Canis lupus familiaris: one gene and its partners. The main gene of each other region encodes a partner of the protein of the gene in region 2 in a complex. Links are inferred from orthologs where the notes say so. Each region holds a gene or a part of one and is shown on either strand. Other genes may lie near its edges.

The links.
Region 1: CYFIP1 (region 2) and EIF4E share a complex: the UniProt entries of both Homo sapiens proteins name them as parts of the CYFIP1-EIF4E-FMR1 complex. The link is inferred for Canis lupus familiaris from reciprocal best matches to the Homo sapiens genes CYFIP1 and EIF4E.
Region 3: CYFIP1 (region 2) and WASF2 share a complex: the UniProt entries of both Homo sapiens proteins name them as parts of the WAVE2 complex. The link is inferred for Canis lupus familiaris from reciprocal best matches to the Homo sapiens genes CYFIP1 and WASF2.

Annotation. Positions count from the first base shown.
Region 1 is NC_049253.1:18,848,358-18,850,993, forward strand, and holds part of EIF4E (eukaryotic translation initiation factor 4E), read left to right. Parts: intron 1-793; coding exon 794-933; intron 934-2,636. UniProt on the Homo sapiens protein: Acts in the cytoplasm to initiate and regulate protein synthesis and is required in the nucleus for export of a subset of mRNAs from the nucleus to the cytoplasm which promotes processes such as RNA capping, processing and splicing.
Region 2 is NC_049224.1:32,059,552-32,063,204, forward strand, and holds part of CYFIP1 (cytoplasmic FMR1-interacting protein 1), read left to right. Parts: coding exon 1-5; intron 6-2,233; coding exon 2,234-2,330; intron 2,331-2,436; coding exon 2,437-2,565; intron 2,566-3,653. UniProt on the Homo sapiens protein: Component of the CYFIP1-EIF4E-FMR1 complex which binds to the mRNA cap and mediates translational repression. In the CYFIP1-EIF4E-FMR1 complex this subunit is an adapter between EIF4E and FMR1.
Region 3 is NC_049223.1:72,194,769-72,198,964, forward strand, and holds the start of WASF2 (wiskott-Aldrich syndrome protein family member 2), read left to right. Parts: upstream 1-1,256; 5' UTR 1,257-1,341; exon of another isoform or gene 1,342-1,482; intron 1,483-4,196. UniProt on the Homo sapiens protein: Downstream effector molecule involved in the transmission of signals from tyrosine kinase receptors and small GTPases to the actin cytoskeleton. Promotes formation of actin filaments. Part of the WAVE complex that regulates lamellipodia formation.

The DNA of each region.
Region 1 (2,636 bases), on a different chromosome or scaffold from region 2:
GTAGGAATAATAGTCTCTTGGATTCGTAGCACTCATCACAGTGTCTCATTTATAGTTAGCACTTAATGAGTTAAGCAGTTACTGAATATTTGCATGAATTTCTTTTTTGAATGAAGAAACTTAATTTTGCTTTTGGAGATTATCAGTAAATAAATACCATTTAGAATTCCACTTTAAAAATTAGTCATTTCAGTTTTGTAAGATGACAAAAGTTCAGGAGATGGATGATTGTTATAGCTATACAATGTTGTCAGTATACTTAATGCCATTGAACCATACCCTTAAAAATGGTTAAGTGATTTAATGTCATATTTTGTCTATCCTCAAATAAAAAACGTTATTTAAACGATTAAAATGGTAAATTTTATATATATTTGCCACAATAAAAAAAAAAACCTGTGTTCATGAAAAACGGCAAGATCATGAGGCAGTTAATTTAACCTTGCACAACTATTCAGTCCTTCCATTATTTGTTTGCTGGCAAGTAGAAGCAGAAGAGCAATTGAATATTAACATAATTTACCTTTCATATGTGCCCTCACATCAATTGCCCCATTTGCTAAAAAAAGTTAAAATCATCTGTTAATGTTTTTGATATTAAACAAAGAAATGAATCTTTAAAAAGTCAGGACAAAGAACAATATACATAAATATAATTTAGACATTGAAAAAGTCAACTTTTGGTTTAAAAACTGTTTTCAGTTTTGTATATATACAAATATAAGAAACATTTGTAGTTTAATAAGCAGTGAATAATTTGTTTCATGTAATTTGGGATTGAATTTTTTTAAAGCTGCTGTGCCTTATTGGAGAATCTTTTGATGACTACAGTGATGATGTATGTGGAGCTGTTGTTAATGTTAGAGCTAAAGGTGATAAGATAGCAATATGGACTACTGAATGTGAAAACAGAGAGGCTGTTACACATATAGGGTAAGTTTTGCTATTTTTATACTTCCTTTAAAATATTAAGATAACTAAAAGCAAAGTACTGTTACAACTTTAAAAACACTTGGATTTGTAGATCATTATTTTCCTTGTATTGTTTTCATGAAAACTTATAATCTTGAACCTGCTCTATTGGTTTTCATTGTCTTGTCCATATTTTTTTTTAATTTCATTTTCCTCGCAATGGAGTATGTAATCAATGACCAAAGTATTCTATATTGGCATGTAGCATTTTATTTATCCTATGAGAATATTAAGTCTTTTTTCTACTTTAAAATCGTAACATTAGTATTACAATACTCATAGGAATAGTAATTCAGGGAGTATTGGCAAATAGTATATATTCTGTATACGTGTGTGTAAAAATTTCAGTGACTGACATTTAAATGATAGTATTTTAGTTCTGTCCATATTTTAAATGTCTGTTCTGTGCACATGTGTGTAAAATTTTCAGGGACATTTAAGTGATAGTATTTTAGTTGTGTCCATATTTTAAAAACCTACATGTGTAAGTTTTTAAATTTGGGGCATGGTGAATAATTGCCTGGAATTTCCCTATCCCCCAAGCATTGATCAGTATTAACTGGGATCCTCTTTTTATTACTTTTAAATTAGTAATATTTGACTTTTAATTTTGTGTTAAAATTAAGTATTGGTCATAGGTCACAAAATATTTGGTTTGCCCTTCGTGATTGTTTTCAAACAATATGAATTCTCCTATGAACATAATTCCTTTCTAGATTAAAAGATAATGGAGATTTTCCAGGTTTTTTCTAAAAGAGAAGTTGAGGGCAGCCTGGATGGCTCAGCAGTTTAGTGCTGCCTTCAGCCCAGGGCCTGATCCTGGAGACCCGGGATTAAGTCCCACATCAGGCTCCCTGCATGGAGCCTGCTTCTCCCTCTGCCTGTGTCTCTGCCTCTCTCTCTCTCTCTCTTTCATGAATAAATAAATAAAATCTAAAAAAAAAAAAAAAAAAGTTGATTTGTCATCATATTCTTAACCTTTCAGCATCAAAACTTAATAGTTTTGATTATTAAAAAAACAATTTAAAAAATAAGTATGAAGTTCTTTCCTCTGAAAATATAGTATTTGTGTCAGTATTTAAAATTATTGAAATCTTTGTGAAATATTTGACTTCAGTTTTTTAATGGAGGTTATTTTGTTTTGTTTTGTTTTTGTTTTGTTTTGTTTTTGTTTTTTTTTTGACCCAAGTTACATGGCTGAGTGCTCTGGCTTTCTGGCATTTTTATGATTAAGTGTAATGGAAGGGAATACTTTGTATCCTCATATAAATCTGATAATGGTTATTTTAGTTAGAAAGTTATTTTTAGAAACTTTATTTGTAGGAAGGTAGTAGAATCTTCTGGAAGGTATGAGTATGAATAAAACTATCCTAGTATCATATTGGAGAATTTAGCTCCAATATGTATAAATGTATGTCTTTTATTTTATTTGGGTGCTTATTTTTGAAGGTTTGCTGTCTTTTCTTTAGAATAAGTGTCCAAATCCCTAACTTTACCTGTGATGCTCTCTGTGATCTAGCCTCAGTTTTATTTAACCTTTTTAACTCATAGTCCCTTTCTTTATGAGCTGTAGCCACACAGCCTTATTTAGTTCCCCAGCCTTCAGATGTGCTTCATTCTCTCAGCATTTTACTTTTAACCTCATGACTTTTAAAGGGGAGATT
Region 2 (3,653 bases):
AAGAGGTGAGCTTTGACCTTTCCCTGTAGGTCCTTGCAGAGAGTGCCCCCGCAGACAGGGTGGTTCCTGATTAGCTGCATGCTCTGCACATGGTAGGTATGCATCCCATATGTGCTGAAATAATGTCACTGTTTGGTAACAGTTATTTGACAGGCTCAGGACTGTTTGAATACACACTCCTAGGTGCGTAAGGGTAGCTGGCAGATTATGAGTATGGCAATGCATCAAGGTGCGTCCTCATAGGCATGTGTACATTGTGGTTTCATGAAGCTAGAGTGGGATCTAATTATCCTCAAACATTTGTTGAGGAGCGTGGGTGCTCAGCACATGTGGGAAGACAGAAGTACATAAGATCAGTCCCTTTTATAGAGGGTTAGGGGCACTGCAAGGCTTTTGGCTCAGTAGGCATCTTCCTGAGGGCACAGGCAGGTTTGCAGCCTGAGGGCAACACCTGTTCATGTCATTTCCTGGTTACACATTCCTAGAAGGTACACACCATCACAGCAGTGGGCAGAGCTGGTCTGTAGACTGTCATAGGATCACACTGAGGTTCCAGCTCCCTGAGACTAGCTCTTCTCCTGGGAGACAGGAGAGAACTTACGGAGAAGAGAATTGGAAAAGGTAGGTGTGGCATGATAGTCTGCTTCTAGAAAATAGTGAGGGGCAGTTGGCAGGAAGATGGAGGGTGATCAGTCAGAACAAAGCCAACTATCTTCTAATAGACTTTTCTTTATAAAGTATGTGCTTTAAAAAAAAAGAAAAAGTCTGTGCTTGATACTGTTCAATGCATGATTAGCAGGAATGAGATGCTGACTTTTGTTTGTTCTGCTAGATAAGGACTCTTGGCTGTGAAATTAAATTTTATGAGGTTTTCCTTTGCATCAGAATAGGCTGGCATTTATACTCAGAAGGGGTTATACTATTATACTGTTAGCTGTCGCTTTATTGTATCTGAAATCATATAACTTTTGCCATGTCTTTAAAATAAAATCTACATGGGATGTGGTGCCAAACTGAGATTTAGGATGAGTTAGCAGTGGGAGTTGGACTAGATCACCTAGAGTTGAAGCCTCACAACTGATGAGGGGATTCCACAGTGTTCACACCCCAGGGGTCCTGCTGGCTGGCTGCTCTGCTGTCTTCATGTGTTATCTCATGGTCCAGGATGGTTGCTTGAACTCCAGCGATCATTTCTTCATTCCAGTCAACAGGGAGGAAGGAGAATAGAAGGGGTCATACTACTTTTTATAAGTGAACTTCCAAGTTCCTTGCAGTATTTTTTGTTGTATCTCATGGCTCAACCATTAGTCACATGGAGATGAGGCACATTGCTGTAGCATGGAAATTTGGGGTTTATTTCTAAGGAGGCACAGAGGAAATGACTGTTGGTATAGGATATCAGTCTTTACCATGAGAATTTTTCTTCAATAAAACCCCCAAGTTTTTAGGTAGCAGACAGGTCCTTATGTGGACAGTTTCCACGAAACTTTTTTTTTTGGGGGGGGGCTGCCCTAGACATTCAGGAAGCTCACACCCATGTTTACATTGCTTTGCAAGACTCAGACACTCAGCGTGTACCTTACAGTCTTATTGTACCTAAGTGTACAGATAATTCTGTGTGTGCTGTTCCCTCTCTCCTCACACCTGCTTTGTGGGTAGACAGATGGACAGTTGTTGTTTGTTACAGGTGTGATAAGTGAGCTTCAGGAGAGTGCAGGGGGTTAATCCAAGATCAACTAGCCTATTAGTGGAGGAAATCGGGATTCTGTCTCTGACCATTGGCACAAAAACTGGGTGTGGCGCCTGACTTGTGGGAGGTGTGGTAGCCTAGGTGATTCTTGGCAGAGACACTGGATGGTGCTGACCATCTCCCTTACCATATTCTGGGAGTCAAAAGGGGAGGCAGTCTTTCTCAGACTTGGAAACAGGTCGCTATGGGGAGAAACCAGTGTTATTAGGTACCTGGCAAGAAGGCCTATGGTTGGCACTGCCACATCTGAGGAAATCTTTCAGCTGTGGACAGTGGGGTGGTGAACTGTCCAGGCTGGGACAAGAGTGACCTGGAGTCCAGGGTAGAGAAGCTCGAGGAGGCTGAAATTATAACCAGCTTCTAAGGCCCACATTTTTACATTTAACTGTAGCCAGATAAATAATCTGGATTATTTTATGCTTTTTTTTTTTCTTTTTAAAATCATTAAGCACATTGATTAACTCTTTTTTTTTGCTTTCAAAGAGCCGCTCAGTTTCTACGGAAAATGGCAGATCCACAGTCCATCCAGGAATCACAGAATCTGTCCATGTTCCTGGCCAACCACAACAAAATCACACAAGTAAGGCTTGCACTCTTGCTGCTCTAGCTGATGGGGTGCATGACTGGGGCCACAGCCAGGAAGCCAGGAACAGTCTATGGCATGGATCTCGCATTCTGTGTTTTAGTCTCTGCAGCAGCAGCTTGAAGTGATTTCTGGCTATGAAGAGCTCCTCGCCGACATCGTGAATCTGTGTGTGGATTACTACGAGAATAGGATGTACCTGACACCCAGTGAGAAACACATGCTTCTCAAAGTACGTGTGTGGGCATGGCTGCTTGCGTAACTGTGGAGAGAAGAGGCTGTGTTTTGACTACAATCTTTTTGGTAGCCTTTTCTTATTCTCATGCTTGCCACTGTGTGTGTGCGCATGTGTTTATACACAGTATCCTCCATGCACTAGCGGCTCTCAACACATTCGTATGACTGTCTCAGGCTTGACCTCAGTGCCAGTTGGGATCATATGCCTCCCCCGGGAAGGCATGCTTATGGGTGAGGAGGTCTGGGGTGGGGGCTTCTCTTAGCATCAGCTTCTTGCAGCAGAGGATACATCAGATTCCAATTGTTCAGGATGTGATTTCTAGGAATTAAGAATATGGCGTCTTCATGATTATGGTAGACTTTTCTTGGTCAAGAACATGACCATTCACCATATTGGGGAGGTCAGTGATATTTCTTACTGGGAAGAGGGAGGAGAAGGCAGTTCTGCCACTGCATTAGCTTTGCTTTCCACCTTTGGGGAGGATAGCCTTGAAGAACCTTGTGCTAGGTGTCCAGTCAGCCCAAAGCCTTCCCTGTAAGAGTGGGCCCAGTCCCAAGATCTCTTCCTGCAGGAGAGCACCATGGGCGAGTTGGTGCTGGAGGACGCTGTAGTGGACCTCTTTGTGATGGTGGAAATACTCTATGTGTGCCATCTGGGGCAGGAGCCCCTGGCCATGGATGCTTATGGAAATCCACATTTAGTGTTGCATTTGCTTGACGAGAGGTAGAGATGGTGTTTGTGCCTGGGGAAGACATTAAAATAGCCACAAGAAATGACACACATAGAAGAATAACTTCATATGAAAGGATATCTATTTATTTATAAGGAACTTTTAAAAGTGCTTTTTGCTTTTTGGGATCCCTGGGTGGTTCAGCAGATCCCTGGGTGGTTCAACAGATCCCTGGGTGGTTCAGCGGTTTAGTGCCTGCATTTGACCCAGGGCATGATCCTGGAGTCCCGGGATCGAGTCCCACATCAGACTCCCTGCATGGAGCCTGCTTCTCTCTCTGCCTGTTTCTCCGCTTCTCTCTCTCTCTCTCTCTCTGTGTGTGTGTCTCTCATGAATAAATAAATAAAAGCTT
Region 3 (4,196 bases), on a different chromosome or scaffold from region 2:
ATAGGAATTACAGCCAAGGCAGCCCTTCTGGGAAAAACAATCCTGCAATGAAAAGAGCCCTGTTCTGAGAGCAGAGAGACCTGGATTTAAGTCTTGGCATGGAGGCTGCCCTGCTGAGGGCCCTCAATGTGTCACTGCCTCTCTGTGTCCTTGTTTGGGATTCTGTCTGGGTTGCTGACCCACCTGTCATCCCCTACTCACGTCCTGATTCTTAGGACCCTGGAAACAGCTGCGGCCTATGGTGACCAAAGAAATGGGGACTGGCCTGGCCCCTGAAATGCTAAAGGGTTGGTGTTGGAAAGTCTTTCTCAGGGGACACCAAGCCTGGGGGGTGGGGAGTGGGGAGAAATACAGAAATGGAAGACAAAAGATACAGGCTTGACTCCTAGGGTTGTTTCAAATTCCCTGGGTGACTTAGGTTAAGTCGTGGAGTTTTCAATTTTCTCTCCTGCAAAAGGAGGGAAGTCTCCGCCTTACAAAGTAGCTGTAGAGAACTAAATGAGAGATTATCGCTAACTTGTGAGTTTGTCACATTGATATCCAGCCGCAGCCTTTTAGAATTAAAAAAAAAAAAAACAACAACAAAAAAACCCCAAAAACCGAACATGCACCCAACTCAGGCACGTGGCCTCAACAAATATGCCAGGACAGGAGGCAGACATGACTGCTCCTATTTTGCGGAAGGACAAACTGAGACCCAGGTAAGTCCAGGAAGTTGTTTGAGGTCGCAGAATGAGGTGGCGCCCGAACCAGGGTCCTGCTCACCTCACGCTGGCCTCTCAGAACCAGCTCCCGGTCCCAAACCCCAGACCTCGCCCCGGAAGAACCGTTTAGCGGCGGGCAGGAGCCTCTGACTCACGCTCCCCACCCTCCTTTCAGTCGGACCTGAGACCGGGGGAGAAGGGACAAAACTACCTGCAACTTGAGGGGTGTCCACAGAAAGTTCAGAGGTTTAGCCCTCTTTTTTACACCAAAAATCCTGGTTCTTTGAACTCTTCCGAGAAGAACCCATCTTTCAATACACTTTGTACGAGTTTTCCCACTTTCTTCGGTGGGATTTTCCTATCCTGAATTTAGGAGTTGATCCCGCTTCATCTCCACCCCCACTTCACTTGGTTTGCCCCCCCGCTGTTTACTCCGATTGCGGAAGTAGCTCGGGTGGAGCTCCCCAGGCGCTGCCCGGGAGTACGTCTTTTGCGTAGCTATTTAACTGGCACTCGACTCAGGCCAATGGAATGCCCGAAAGCCCCAGGAGGGTGGGGCAGGGAGCCAATCAGGGCCTTTGGCGGGGTGTGGCTGCGTCCCAGGGCGGGGAATCGCGTAATGGCGGACGCGGGCCGGGTGAGCGCGGCTGGGGGCGTAGCGCGCTGAGGGGGGTCTGGCTGTGCGGCGTCCCGGGAGGCGGCCCGCGGGAACAGACCCCGTGCGGAGAAGGGCGGCTGGTCGGCCCCTCTATCTCTGAGGGCGGCCGCGCGCGACCAGGTGAGCAACAAGTCCCCGCGGGCGGGCCCCGCCGTGAGGCGCCGGGCCCGGCCGCGCCGCCACCGCCTACCCCCTGCCCGGAGCCTCGCGGGGTCCCCGGGGAGTCGGTGGCGCGCCTCCCGCCGCTGACGGGCAGTGGCCGGGCGAGCGGTCAGCGCGGGGTGGCCTCTTACTGTACACTCCCCTCCGCAGGGGTGAGGTGTCCTGGAGATCCCCTCGGAGACTTGGAGGGGGCCCGCAAATCTGCTAGGCTTGGAAAGTGCCCTCAACCTGACCTGGCGTTGCCACTAACTCGCTGTGTGACCTTGGGCAAGTCACTTCCCTCTCTGGGCCTCAGTTTCCCTATTTGTAGAACGAAGGCTTTGCAGGCAGTTGTACATGAGTTGGATCTCTGATGTTCTCCGAGATCTCGGGCAAGTTCTTCCCCAGTTTCCATCTCTGGGCCGTGAAGGAATTGAAGTGCTCTTTGAGACCTCTGGCCTGCTAGGTCAGGAGGAGTGGTGGAGAGGACTGTGTGTACGTGTGTGCGCGTATATATGTGTACTGGATGGTTCTGCAGGGTCAGGAGGAGAGTTGGCCAGAGGGGCTCTTCCGTGAAAGCTCTGGATGGACCCCAGACTGTGATGAGGTGGACTCCCGATTGTCTTGATCCTCTAGGATCCTAGACCCTCTGAGATGGCAAAGTTTTATACACTAGTGCATCAGAAGAGAGGATAGCATCCTTGGGGCTTCTTGGGACAATGATTGAAATTTAGGCCCAAAAGAATTCTTGGTGGGTTAGGAATAGGAGGGGGAGCGTTTATGCTGCTCCTACTATGTGCCAGTGCTTATTTGGGCTTATGTTCTTACTGAATTTTTACAGCGGCTGTTGAGAACTTACACATAAGGAAACTGAGTTTCAGGGGAGTTAAGTAACTTGTCCAGGGTCACATGGTGAGGTACAGAGCTTACCAACCATAAGGTGATTTCCTTTGAGAATCACCAGACAAGGGGGAAGTCATTGTCCACTTAAAAGAAGTTTGCTTTGTCACAACTGGGGGGAGGGGTCTGGTCCCAGACACTTGAGTTGACTTATGGCATGGAGACAGGCTGGACCTTGATCTCCGGATTGCTAATTATAAGTGCATTCCTTTTCTTCGGTTTGTAAGTTAGAAAGGACCATTTCTAAATTGTAGAAGTTACTGTGAAGTGTAAAAGGTCAAAACCTCAAAGAACTCATTTTGGATGCTGACCCAAGTGACCTGTAGAAGTTCACCAACTGTTGGTGTTTAGACTTGACTCTTGGTTCAGAGTGGTGCCAGCCCAGTCAGTAGCTTTTCCTCCTCCCTAAGAAAGCTAAATTTTCTTGTGATGAGAGAAATTTTCCATTTGTTCAAATTTCTTCCGATTCTTGGAACGAAAGTTTCAGTACCCTGCCTCTGATGAAGAATAATATTCCTTCCTTTCTTTGTGTTCCTTGTTATCTGACTTCTAGATGAGTGAAGATTTTGGACCTGGAGTCAAAGACTAGTAGCTGGATACTATAAATTGTAGCCCTTAATTTTTTCAAGCCTCAGCTTTTGGTTAATCAAAATGGTAGGACGGGCAGAGTGTATTGTTCTCATGTGTCAATGATAGGGGAAGAAAATTGGAAGAGGAAGTTGCTGAGAAAGAGGGCGTTTCTTAGCAGTGGAGCCAATATGTATTTCTTTGTTTGAAATTCTAAAACCAGAAAAGCAGCAACTGAAGGAGGAAGGAAGGAAAGAACTTTGAAACTCTTCTTGCAGTTCAAATATCTTAGGAGCAATCCCTGTTGCTGTCCGTGTCTGAGGCCCCGCTTTCACAGGAAAAGTCCATTGTAATTTGTTCAAAGTTGAGGAATTGTATTCTAGAATGCAAAAATTTTAGGTATGAAACCTGAGATAAATTTCTTAAAATCAGAACATTTTACTGAGTTTGTTGTTCACCAGTGGATGATTCTTCTTTTTTTTTTAAGATTATTTATTTATTCATGAGAGACACAGAGAAAGAGAGAGAGAGACTTAGAGACACAGGCAGAGAGAGAAGCAGGCTCCATGCAGGAAGCCCGAAGTGGGACTCGATCCCGCGACTCTGGGATCACGCCCTGAGCCAAAGGCCGACGCTCAGCCTCTGAGCTACCCAGGCGTCCCTTGATTCTTTTCCTCAGTAACCAATTGCAGTCTTTTGGTCTGTCTTAACTATGATTTAAATTAGTGAATTTCAACCTAAGAAGAATTGATTTAGATACTGGGTGATGTATATCACCGTCACTTGAAAAAACGTAATGGTGCTTGAGTTTTGACATTTGTTAAAAATCTTTTTGATGCTTCATTTTACAGGATTGTGTATGTGAATAGTTGTTAAGGCATTGAATTTATTGTATGTGAAGATCTATTTTCATTTGCTTTATTAGTTATAAGACTAGTAAGACTTAGTATAAGCCTGTTTAAGACTTAATCTTAGCATACCATATCAAAATACCTTGGGGCCAAAAAAAACCCCAAAAAACGAAACAGTTCTTGGGACTAGATATTTTTTGCATATAGAATTTTTGGGATTTTATTTTTTTTAATTTTTAAAAAAATTTTTGGGATTTTAGAAAAGGGATATAGTACATGTACTTTATGTTATATAACATCCCAGAGAGGTCAGGGTCAGCACCTTGTAATCAAACACATTCCCATGTGTAGTAAAATGTCAGAATGTTCACACCA